Linked DNA regions of Arabidopsis thaliana. The protein of the gene in region 2 interacts with the protein of the main gene of each other region in a pairwise test. Each region holds a gene or a part of one and is shown on either strand. Other genes may lie near its edges. The genes, in order: BBX29, STO and GATA7.

Region 1 (3,498 bases), on a different chromosome or scaffold from region 2:
TCATTCAATTTAAATAAATAAAATATCTGGTAGACATTCGCCGTCCAATTCTCTAACTACCATGAATTGAATTACTGTATACTGTATTTATCATATACGATCAAGAAACCAAAAACTTGGATCTTCTCATTTCTCACAAAACAAATAGATTCAAAATTAGAAATAAAACCAATTTATTTAGTTACATATAAATCATGAGAGCATCATTTTTTATTTTTTTGGAGCTTCGAACACGGTTTAGATACAAAAGACACGATGGGTTCAAAGCGTTTGACAAATAAATTTTTTTTAAAAAAACTTTAAAGGAGGACCCCATGGTACTAAATATCTTCTTTTTTCTAAGTCTTGACAACTTTTTTGTTTGATTCTTTTTAGTGGTCGTAGTTACAATTTACAAAGCTAACGGACATTCATACGTTATGTACTCTTCAGTTGTAACATCACAATGACACAGACACTTCTAGTTCTGGGAAGGCAAATAAAATTGACATCATAATAAATTTTGGTTTTGGCTGGTAATCCTTCTCACGTTATAAATTTATAATAATATCTCTTGTTTCACTAATTAATTTTCTTAATCATTTTCGTTAAAAAATAAATAAATAGAAAACAGCTTCATTTTCTTAATCATTTTCTGAACAACTTTGCTTCATTTTATTTTTTATGTTATATGATTTTATACTAGACATATGAACATATATATTCTAGGTAACACAGAAAAAAAAACACAAAAAAAAATCATTATATTGAAATGTTTTTAAACTAACTCAACTCACTAAAAGTATTGTTGTTAGTAAATGAACGATGAGGATTAATCTAATCAACCAAACAAAAGAATCATCAACGGCTACAATCTCTACTTTCCTTGGCGATTTCAATAAAACGAAGACGACGATGATGTATCACATCCCTCTGCTTTTCTCCTCCCTCCGTGTAATTTCACGATTGAGCTATTCATCACAACAGTTGATCTTGACAAACCTTCGTCTCTCGATAATCTTTTCAATGGTCTAGATTGGTTCTCCTCCTGCATTTCAAAAAGAATTGTTTCAGATTTCTTAATCATTTCCTAATAATAAAAGAAGATAAAGAAAAAGATTCATATTCATACATCGGAGAGGTTAAGATCCAAATCAAGTCTCGTCCTTTTCACCACCTGATCTCCTTCACCACTACTAACCGAAGACGACGAACTCACCACCGGAAGTTCTTGCTCCACCGCAGCCGGAACAACCTGATTCTCCACTTCTTCTTCTTCTTCATCCTCATCGCTTTCCTCATCATAAGACTCAGCTCCGTCGTTACAACCAATGATCTCTTCTTCTTGGTTAAGATTCTGATCCCTCCCGGCGAGGGAGCTGTTGTTATTCTTCTTACGAGCTAAACAAGACTCACAGATAGAAACAGTTGGGCCAAGATTCAGCCCAGAAGCTTTCCAAGGCGTGTGTGACTGACACGCGCTACATAGAAGACAACGCATGTGTTTCGCCACCAGAAAATTAGCTCCGTGAACTTTACCGTCACAATCCCAACATAAACTCGCTTGATCTGACTCACAATACATTCTCGCTACACCACAACATAACTCGCACTTCTTCTTCCCCATCTCTAGATATTATCTCGCACAACCACAACCACAAGCTCTCTCTCTATGTCTATCTCTGTCTCTAGATGTTTGTGTGTTATAAATATTCTTGGTAAGGTCTTTTGCTTCTCTCTCTTCTCTCGTTTCTTCTGCGGACACGAATAAGAGACAGCGTAATAGAGAATTGTAAAATGAGAATTTCGTGGCGACTTTTATGTGATTTAATTCTTTTCGAGGATATTGTCGTCTTTTTGATATTAACGAAACGATTTTTCACGTAATTTTTTAATGAAATGCAAAGAAGCTTCCTAATTTTAAATTAGAATAAGATTAAAGGATTCGTTCAAACTTTAATTTTTATGGTGGATAATTTGTGGATAATTTTGTATTAGTAGTTCTAAATCTGTGTTTGAAATTGATTAAGGTTTCCGCGGCTGAGTATTATTCTCGAATTCTTAAATTTAGGAGAGATGATAATAATAATAAAAATTAAAGGAAATGTTGTTATTTACTTGGTCCTGAAACCATGTACTGGGACAAGGCTCTCCTATGGGCGAAGTCTTACGTGTCGAGATATTATTCGTTTTATGTTTCATCAGATATTTTTATGCGGTTAGATTTTTAGTTAATGACGTGGCGAGATATTAGCCTCGTATAGAGGAGAGGGAAGATTCTGAGTTATCCTACGTGGACGAATCAGGTTCTGTAATAGACTTAGAACCACGTGATCCGCACCTGGGATTTGTCTGGTCCTCAATACACGTCTAATGGGTCCACTCTTTTTTCTTTCATTTTTTACTTTTTTCAGTATTCCTCTCTCGTTCCGGTCCAAGCGTTTTGTTTTCGAAAATGAAAAGTGAATTAAATATCATTTATATCGTTGGTATTACGGTAGGATAATAATGATGATCGGATTTTTAATATCGCATTTTGGGTTCGGAAATTTTGGTGTCCATGAATCAACATGGTTACTAGGAGAAGAACCTAATTTTATGATTTTATCAACCACTTTTAGCGTTCCATATTTTACATAATTCGAGTTAAATGTCTTTTTCTCTAAATAAAAATAAATAAATAAATCCAACCACTAATTTTACATTTTTACTTCACATCATTGGCAATTCGATATATTACTTGTTATTTGCTAATGGTAATTAAAAAGAATATAGAATATATATTTGAAAAATTATTAAACCTGGATTAAAAAAATGAAAGGTATTACGAATTTTTATCTAAAAAACAGGATAGATAGATAGCTAAGAAGCTTGTAGTTAGACAAATATTTTTTGTCATTTCAAATGTTTACAGTTGTGAGTTTTTAAAAGAAAATCACAACGATTTTTGTATGATAGAGTTTGATCTGTGGTTTTGATCCATAGAACAAACTAATTCATCTATGATCAAAGATGAATTAATTTGATTATTTGTATTCATTTGATCAAAGGAATTAATTTGTATCACGAAATCGAGATTAAGACTAGCAAAGATGGATTGAAAGTCATTTTAGGATAACAAATAATACGTAAAATATATATAAGAACAAAAAAAATGGTAAAGTTGGGCCTACGTAACATGCTTGAGAAATTTTTACGTGGCGAAGATTAGTGGTGTAAAGGGTGAAGTGTGAATTGTGAAGAATCAAAGGAACACGAGATGTCTTCATTTGAGAGCCACATGCATTAAAAAAGCGCTGATGAGTGGAGGTGTTTTGAGTTTTATGGTTTTTTGTTTTTTTACTTTTAAATGTTTGTGGATGACAACTTTAGAACAACTTAGAAGAAGCCTCGAATCAATACACATCTATCTTACGAATTACTCCTTATTTTTTGTTAGTTCTTTTCCATTTATGTTTTCTTTTGCAAGTTTCTTTAAAGATTTATTAAAAAGAGAAGTGGATTACAAATTTACAATAG
Region 2 (4,293 bases):
TTTTGATTGATGTTCTCTTGACTCTTGTGTAGGATTTCCATGGATCTGTTGAAACTTTCCATGTTGACGCTGTGGATACTACTGGAGCTGGTGATTCTTTTGTTGGCGCGCTTCTAAACCAGATTGTTGATGATCAATCTGTACTCGAGGTTAACTCCCATTGATATTGTGTGTCTATTCAATCAACTGAATATTGTTGATGATATTTACTGATTTTTCTCGTTTCTTAGGAGGAAGAGAGATTGAGAAAAGTGCTGAGATTTGCAAACGCTTGTGGAGCAATCACGACGACTAAAAAGGGAGCCATTCCAGCTCTTCCTACAGATTGTGAAGCTCTCAGTTTTCTTAAGATACAAGTAGAATAGTAAAACTTCTCTTCGAGTCCAGAATTCTCCTTGTCTATTGTAATAATCTGTTCTGGATTCTTCCTGATGATTCTGATCATTTGTAATGTTTTTTTTTTTTGGTTCTCTCTCTGTCTTTTCTTTTTCTTCTTCATTGTATTGAATAAAACAGACTTGTGACTTCTGAGCTTTTCTTGCTAATAGAAAACAAAGAGTTTTTCGTAGTTGTTTGGAACCGTAAATTGCATTGAGGATTGTTTCTCAAGGCTTTGAAAACAGAGTAATAATCAGGAACAAACAAAAAAAAACCAAGAAAGAACAGAGAGAACACATTTAGTATCAAGTTTGTAGCATCAAAGCATTAAGCATAGACCATGTTCAAGAGGTATGAACAAAACTCAAACACAGACATTTGTTATAAGCTCTCAACATATCTTACACAACTTAAGACAAAACTAAAATGTATATGACATTAACTCCACACATGCAGATAGGTTTCTTGTTTGTTCTTTTACATTGAAGAATGTCTACACATAGATTACATATAGCTTTTTAGCCAAGATCAGGGACAATGAAGTGTTCCTCATCATCATCATCATATCTGGTCTCAAACCTCGGCTTCTTGTGTGAAACATTTGACTTCATAGGTTTGTATGAATGAACATGACCTAAATGCGAAACAGAAAGCTCAGGAACTTCAGCTGCAGGAAGAGCCTTGTCATTAATCTGATCACCGAAGAATCCCATGTCTGAAAACCAATCCAACTCCCCTGCCCCAAGATCAAGCTGTCCTTTCTGCTCAATTTAAACCAAGAAGTCAATAAAAGCTTCTTGCAAAGAAAGTGATCTAACATTGAATCTCAATTCTCATCACTACCTTGTCGGTGGATTCAATATCAGAGAAGTGAAAGAAATCGTCAACAGCCCAGGGAAGTGGAGTAGCAGAAGAAGGTTGTTGTTGCTGCTGGCTTGTGGATTTAGCAGGAATCTGATTAGCCTTCTGTTGGTTGTTGGAAGGCTCAGGTTGATTCTTCTCAATTTCTTTACTACATATAGTTGAGGTCAGAGCTACTTTGATCCCAGTGGCTAAGAACCTCTGGTGATTAGCAGATCGAGAATTAGCCACGTGGATGGATTCATCGCAGTCCCTGCAAAGCAGAGCTCTATCCTCTACACAGAAAATGAAAGCTGCCTTCTCCTACAAGTCATAAGAACATAATGAGCAAACCCTAGTCTTAAACAACAAGGCATACATACAACAGTTGCTACAAGATCTATAAAATCACAACTTTGCAACAGAGCAGATTCAAACTAACGAATCCATAAAATATTTGACAAGATCTAATGAGATCTGTAGAGAAACTTACTTGGCAGATATCGCAACGAGGGAATTTGGTGGAGAGGGAATTAAGATGAAGACGTTGGTGCTTGCTAGCGAGTTTGTTAGCGGCGTGAATCTCGATGTCGCATTGAGGACAGAGAGCAGCTTCGTCGGCGCAACAAATCACCGTCGCCGGAGCTTTCTCACACACATCACACTGTATCTTCATCACCGGATACAAGAAACCAAAATATCTAGGTTTCTCAAGAAGGAAACAGAATGCTTAAAATGAAGGGTTTATTGCTAGTCTGGCTTCTCTTAGAATAGCTTAGCAGAAGCGTAGGTTCAGAGAAAGAGCTTAGAGAAGATGAAAGAACAAAGAGGGAGAGAGTGTTTTGTGGGGAACAAGTAGGTGGGATGAGCAATTGGTTGTGAGTGAAAGAGAGAAGATAAGGATTTGATGAATCTTGCTTGTTGCTTTGTTTTCATTATTCTGCGTATCAAAAGGAAACACTCTGCTTCTTACAGCAAGGTCTTGCGGGTCCCACTCTTTTTCTGTGGCTCTCCTTCTTCCTCTCGTCATCTCTCCTACCTTTAGATATTTTTATTATATTCACACTTTGCTATTTTATATTCTTGTTATTTTCTCACGTAGTAGAGATTTGTGTTTTGTTTACTAATCTAGTCAAAACACATTAATTTTGACTAATAAACTAACTTCAATAATTCCACCACCACTAGACTTTTACGCTCCTTTTATATGATATGCTCGAATTTCAAGTCTCGTGAACTTTTACGATTTCAAGAAAGATTTGTATACAAAAATGGGCTTCATCTAGAAAGAAAGAGTTGGGTAATGGTATTACTCAAATCAGAGAATATTACACGACTACACGTAATCTTGAAAATGACATGTGAATTGATTCCTTGGAATGACGACATGTTATGTTAATATGTACCATTCGATCAGATTTTTCTTCTTCTTTCACTTTTTCGTTTTCTCAATCATAAAAACGATTAATGCAATCATTAAAAATATACTGGCATGTTAACTAACAAAGAAATGAATGCTTAGCCCGTTCGAGAAAAAGAATGATCCTAAAAGACACCAATACAAAATTAGGCATGGTTGGTCACAAGAATTGTTGTTGGATATCACATATCCATCCATATTAGTAAAAACCAATCTATACATCTGTGGTTTTTTTAAAGAATTGACAAGTTTTTGTTTCTGTTTTTTGGTAATGAAATCGAACAAATTCAAAGAATTGTGAAGTTAATAACTCCCAAAACACTTACTGCTTCTGTACATGTTCATCCTTCTGGATGTCCCCATGAGAAGTATTGTTCATGTTGGCCGTATCTTGATTAAGCAGATTAGAGAATCCATTTCCAATCGATTTCCACCAGCTCGACCGCTCTGAGGTAGTTTGATCCCACTGGTCATTACTGGTGCTTGAGGACAGTTCGATAGATGTGGCTGACTCGGTCTGCAGCTCAGAGAATCTCACAGCTCCTAGTAGCTTTTCTGGAAGCTCTGCTTCGGTCTGACTCTCAATGAGGAACGCAAGATCAACTGTCAATGTAGTAACGTAGCCAAATGCGAGATGAACAATGGCACTAGCGACCATTGAAGAACCAATATCGACATCAATCTCCACAAAGTTTTCCCCTGAAACATATTTGCAAGAGAGTGCACGTCCAATCACACAGATCGCTTGCTCTCCAACAGCTTTTCTAACAATCCAAGGGCCTTTGACAATGTTTGCAATCAGTTTAAGCCTCGATTTCTTGAACCCATCATCTCCTTTCAAAAACCGATCCATCAGGGAGCCTTCAAGGATAGGCTCTGTGGTAACAAAGTAAGCCACAGCACTGTAATTGTCTTTGTGAGGAAGCTGGAGATTGAATGCCCAGACAAAAGGCTTAGTTCCATCTTTTTGAAACTCCTCATCGATAACTTTCCTGATTCGGCTGCTTGGATAACTCAGGATCTCAGAAAGCTTTTTAGGACCTTTAATCCAATCAAAACCCAGAGGCTTTAGAAGGAAATCACCAGCAGGTATCTTAACTTTGTCAGAGAAATACTTTGGTCCTCTAACCATAAATGTGTCAGGAGATGGCGTCGTCCAACCATTTTTGCAGTTGTCGTCTGGCTTAAGACATGGAACAGCTCCCTCTAATTTCACTCTCTTAATCCATTCTGGCTCAGTTTCCTCACCAACAGAGCCAGCCATATCTTGCGAAAACCTGCAACACAGAGCTTAAATCCTTGAGTAAAACTGAGTGTGGAAAACAATCTCATGGATTCTACTTAGTGAATATAGCAAACAAGAATATGCCATCAAGAAGACCAAAACATGTGATCAGAAAACAGAACCATGTATGTCTGAGGCTCTATCTATTCCTCATCTAATTTCCCATAGGATTCATACTATGCCACAAGAACTTTTTAAAAGAAAAGAGTGAAACAAAAATTGCTCAAAGAAACAAAAACTAGGAGCTGGTAACTCCGGTTCAAGTCATAGCTACACCGGAAACTAGAATAAAGTTAGTAAATTGACTCAAATTCTGAGTAATGACATCAAAATTCAGCATACACGATTCTGAGATTTTCTACAAACCTAA
Region 3 (3,755 bases), on a different chromosome or scaffold from region 2:
GTCTAGTGAACCAAATGTTGGGGCCAATAGTAGATCTGTAATTAATCTTTCAGTAGGAAAAATAGTTGGGAAAATAGTCGAAATGACTAAAATCCGATATGGAATAACAATATCGTTTTTTGGGTCTAAGATATTGATATTTATGGAGCAATGCTATATTGGTTTCAAGTGTACATTTTTTTTTATCCGAGGGTTCAAGACTTAAAAGCTCAACCAAATTTCCGATATACAAAGAATGTGATATTTTTATGGCTATCACTTACATCGTTGCTACATTTAATTAATTTCTATTTTCTCTGAATGCAAATAACTTAAATCGAAGTTCATTTTAAATTATAAACGTAAATTTCATGAAGTAATTTTGTATTTACGCTTTTAAAAAAACTTGAATGGTTTTCATGTAAACTTAATCATCATATAAGTTACGTACAGTGTCAATGTTCATATCACATATATGACTATATGAAAGTATAGTTTACGAGATAAATACTGTGGGGAAAAAAGAAAAAAAAAGCTACACTACACAGATGAGAGATGGATGCATAGAGAACGAGATCATGAAAGTTTACTATCTTATGTTATCGAACGATAATGATTTCATGGGTATAAAATAGTCTAATTTGTACGGTTACTCCTCTGCCAACATACATCGCATTCAATAACATTCCACCTTTTACCGACTTGCATTGAGCCCATGTGGCCCATCGGGCTAATTAGGCATATAGTCAGTTTAGTGAGCCACCACCATATTGTATGTCATCAGTCTACGACTTTCTTGCGTTAATTTAATCCGAGGGGAAAAAAATTGATGTAGCAGTAGAGAATTTAAAGAGGGGTGTTCCGAGAATCGAACTCGGGACCTCTCGCACCCGAAGCGAGAATCATACCACTAGACCAAACACCCAATTGTTTGGAATGTAGTTCATTATATTTATAATAAAAATACAAGTCTATGTATTTTATTATTATTTACTATTTAGGTATGTGTGTAATTTGAATATGTTTATGCTCCATTGCTCCTGGTAAACTTTACGTGAATGTTTAGATGTTTTTTTTCTAACTTTGAAACCGACTTTTTCTAATGGAAATTATTATCTCAAAGAAAAAACAAATATATAACCATGAGCGATATTTTCACGCGCTCAACATATGATGGTCACTCTTTCCTTGAAATTAAAGAAGAAATAAATAATAGGCCCTTACTAATAACGTTTTTGTTTGTTTTGGTAAAATTGGGCCTTCCACCGACGGTCGAGTGGGCCCGAGAAGCCTGATAGTCCAATCATTACTCTCGACGTATGAATTATTGTTAATTTTTTTCTTCTTTTCTGTAAAACCTTCGAAATACTGATACAACAAAAAAAAAAAAAAATATATATATATATATATATATATATATGTGCTACTAGTTTCTTTTTTATGTTAACAAAAAAAAACCATATTTTGCAAGAAACTAGCTTTATATAGAGGGAAAGTTGTATTAACCGACGATATTTTTGGCCCAACAACACTTTCAACGGTCATGATTAATTAGGTTGAGCCATTAGATCGTTAGAATACCACTAGTTCTGAATGACTTTATTCAGTTATTTTGATAGTAAAAGAACTTAAAAAGACTTGCAAACTCTGCGCCGATGGTTAAGTCAAAAATGATAGTTCTAAATTATGAAGAAATCTTTGCTGTCTTTTAATATTATGAACTTAAAATTTGGCATTAAGAACTCTAATAAATTGAATTGACTACAAAGAGCGGTTATCTTTAAATAAAATTCTACGGATAAGTTCAGATAACATTTAAAAAAAAAAAAAAAAAACATTTTACTTACGAAGGAAACGTATTTTTGGTTTCCTTTTCAATGTGAAATGCTGACATGGCAATGCATGATTTGTTACGAGATTTGTAACGAGACAAATACCAAACAAGTCTTCCAAAATCACAAAAACCTAAAACCCACTCTTGCTTACAAACCCCAATCAGTGCTGTCCACTCTCCACTGTCTCTCTCACTCGATAGACACGTAAAGAATTTAAAATTTTGAAAAAGAAAGAATGAAATTTGTGTAAAATATATTGGAACACGAACAAACTTTTTCAAATATGGATTCGCTTCGCTCCTCCTTTATTTAAAATACTTGTAGTGCTTTCATACGGCTAGAGACAAAAATGGAGTGTGTAGAAGCATTTCTCGGTGATTTTTCCGTCGACGATCTTCTCGACCTCTCTAACGCCGACACTTCTTTAGAGTCGTCTTCGTCACAAAGAAAAGAAGACGAACAAGAACGTGAGAAATTTAAGAGCTTTTCTGACCAAAGTACCCGTCTTTCACCGCCAGAGGATCTCTTATCTTTTCCCGGCGACGCTCCGGTGAGCCCACTTACACACTCTGTTTCTATCTCCCCTGTTTTGTACACTCTGTTTCTCTCTACCCTGTTTTTGCTCTGTTTTGCTCTGTTTTTAATCTCATTTTTGTTTTGTTTGTGAAGGTTGGTGATTTGGAGGACTTAGAGTGGTTATCCAACTTCGTGGAGGATTCTTTCTCAGAATCGTATATTTCGAGTGATTTCCCGGTGAATCCAGTCGCGTCGGTGGAGGTTCGGAGACAGTGCGTTCCTGTTAAACCTAGAAGCAAACGCCGCCGCACCAACGGCCGTATCTGGTCTATGGAGTCTCCATCTCCTCTGCTATCCACCGCTGTTGCCAGAAGGAAGAAGAGAGGGAGACAGAAGGTGGATGCATCGTACGGTGGCGTAGTCCAGCAGCAGCAGCTGAGGCGGTGCTGCAGCCATTGTGGAGTCCAGAAGACGCCTCAATGGAGAATGGGTCCATTAGGTGCGAAGACACTGTGTAATGCTTGTGGGGTCCGGTTTAAGTCGGGTCGACTTTTACCCGAATATAGACCCGCTTGTAGCCCAACATTCACCAACGAGATTCACTCTAACTCTCACCGGAAAGTGTTGGAGCTACGGCTCATGAAAGTGGCGGATCCGGCTCGGGTTTAAGCCATTTTTTTCTATCTTGAAATTTTATCAATGCCATGTGCATTGTGTAATCTTGTAAACAGAGAATCAGAGAGAGATCCGTAGACTGTTTTCACATTCATGAAGTTAAGCTATAATTAGAGACAATTTTATTTGATAGAGTATGCATGATTAGAAATCATGATCATTAAAAGTTTTGTTAAATACAGTCCAACCGTTACCCAAATTTTTGTGACCACAACCATAATTAACTACTGTTACTTCCTCTTAGCTCACACTCTTTTCATTTAGAGTTTTTTTAAAAAACTGCTAATGCAAAAAAAAAAAAAGTTGTTAAAACGTTATTTTGAAATTTTGCCTTTATAACTGTTTTTTCAAAATATCGTCGTTGCCCCTTAAAGTTAAAGTAGAATTTTGTATATTTTTATTAAACCAGTATAGAAGTTGTTAACATTGAGACAAGATAAAAGATAAAATTTGACCAAAAATCAATTTAATTTTTCAATTACACAACCCTAAAAATTTACGACGTACGAGCCCCTCATTCACACTCTTATGTTAAAAAAACTGAAAATCAATCCATATCGATCTAATACTTGTGCGGCTACAAATACCAATGCATTGGTTATTTTCTAAATTATGTTATTGTATCATTGATAGTTGACACAGTGTTTATATATTTAAGAATACAAACTGGTATACTTTCTGTTTGCATACACAAATATTGGTGACTCCATTTTTTTTATTTTTTTTGTACATGTAAAATACTAAAGCAAA

What was found.
Region 1: the proteins of STO (region 2) and BBX29 interact in a two-hybrid assay, tested with the Arabidopsis thaliana proteins (one large-scale study listed by BioGRID).
Region 3: the proteins of STO (region 2) and GATA7 interact in a two-hybrid assay, tested with the Arabidopsis thaliana proteins (one large-scale study listed by BioGRID).

The regions. Positions count from the first base shown.
Region 1 is NC_003076.8:22,113,710-22,117,207, forward strand, and holds BBX29 (B-box type zinc finger family protein), read right to left. Parts: upstream 1,831-3,498; 5' UTR 1,607-1,830; coding exon 1,112-1,606; intron 1,028-1,111; coding exon 875-1,027; 3' UTR 595-874; downstream 1-594.
Region 2 is NC_003070.9:1,827,766-1,832,058, forward strand, and holds STO (B-box zinc finger family protein), read right to left. Parts: upstream 2,219-4,293; 5' UTR 2,101-2,218; coding exon of another isoform or gene 2,001-2,100; 5' UTR 1,924-2,000; coding exon of another isoform or gene 1,895-1,923; coding exon 1,712-1,894; intron 1,543-1,711; coding exon 1,222-1,542; coding exon of another isoform or gene 1,192-1,221; exon of another isoform or gene 1,140-1,191; coding exon 897-1,139; 3' UTR 575-896; downstream 1-574. Other genes in the region: AT1G06030 (pfkB-like carbohydrate kinase family protein), read left to right, coding at 33-149, 231-365; AT1G06045 (uncharacterized protein), read left to right, coding at 1,757-1,923, 2,001-2,100; AT1G06050 (ENHANCED DISEASE RESISTANCE-like protein (DUF1336)), read right to left, coding at 2,961-3,902. UniProt on the Arabidopsis thaliana protein: Acts as a negative regulator of seedling photomorphogenesis and light-regulated inhibition of hypocotyl elongation. BBX24/STO and BBX25/STH function as transcriptional corepressors of HY5 activity, leading to the down-regulation of BBX22 expression.
Region 3 is NC_003075.7:17,146,620-17,150,374, reverse strand, and holds GATA7 (GATA transcription factor 7), read left to right. Parts: upstream 1-1,878; 5' UTR 1,879-2,163; coding exon 2,164-2,364; intron 2,365-2,483; coding exon 2,484-2,999; 3' UTR 3,000-3,235; downstream 3,236-3,755. UniProt on the Arabidopsis thaliana protein: Transcriptional activator that specifically binds 5'-GATA-3' or 5'-GAT-3' motifs within gene promoters. May be involved in the regulation of some light-responsive genes.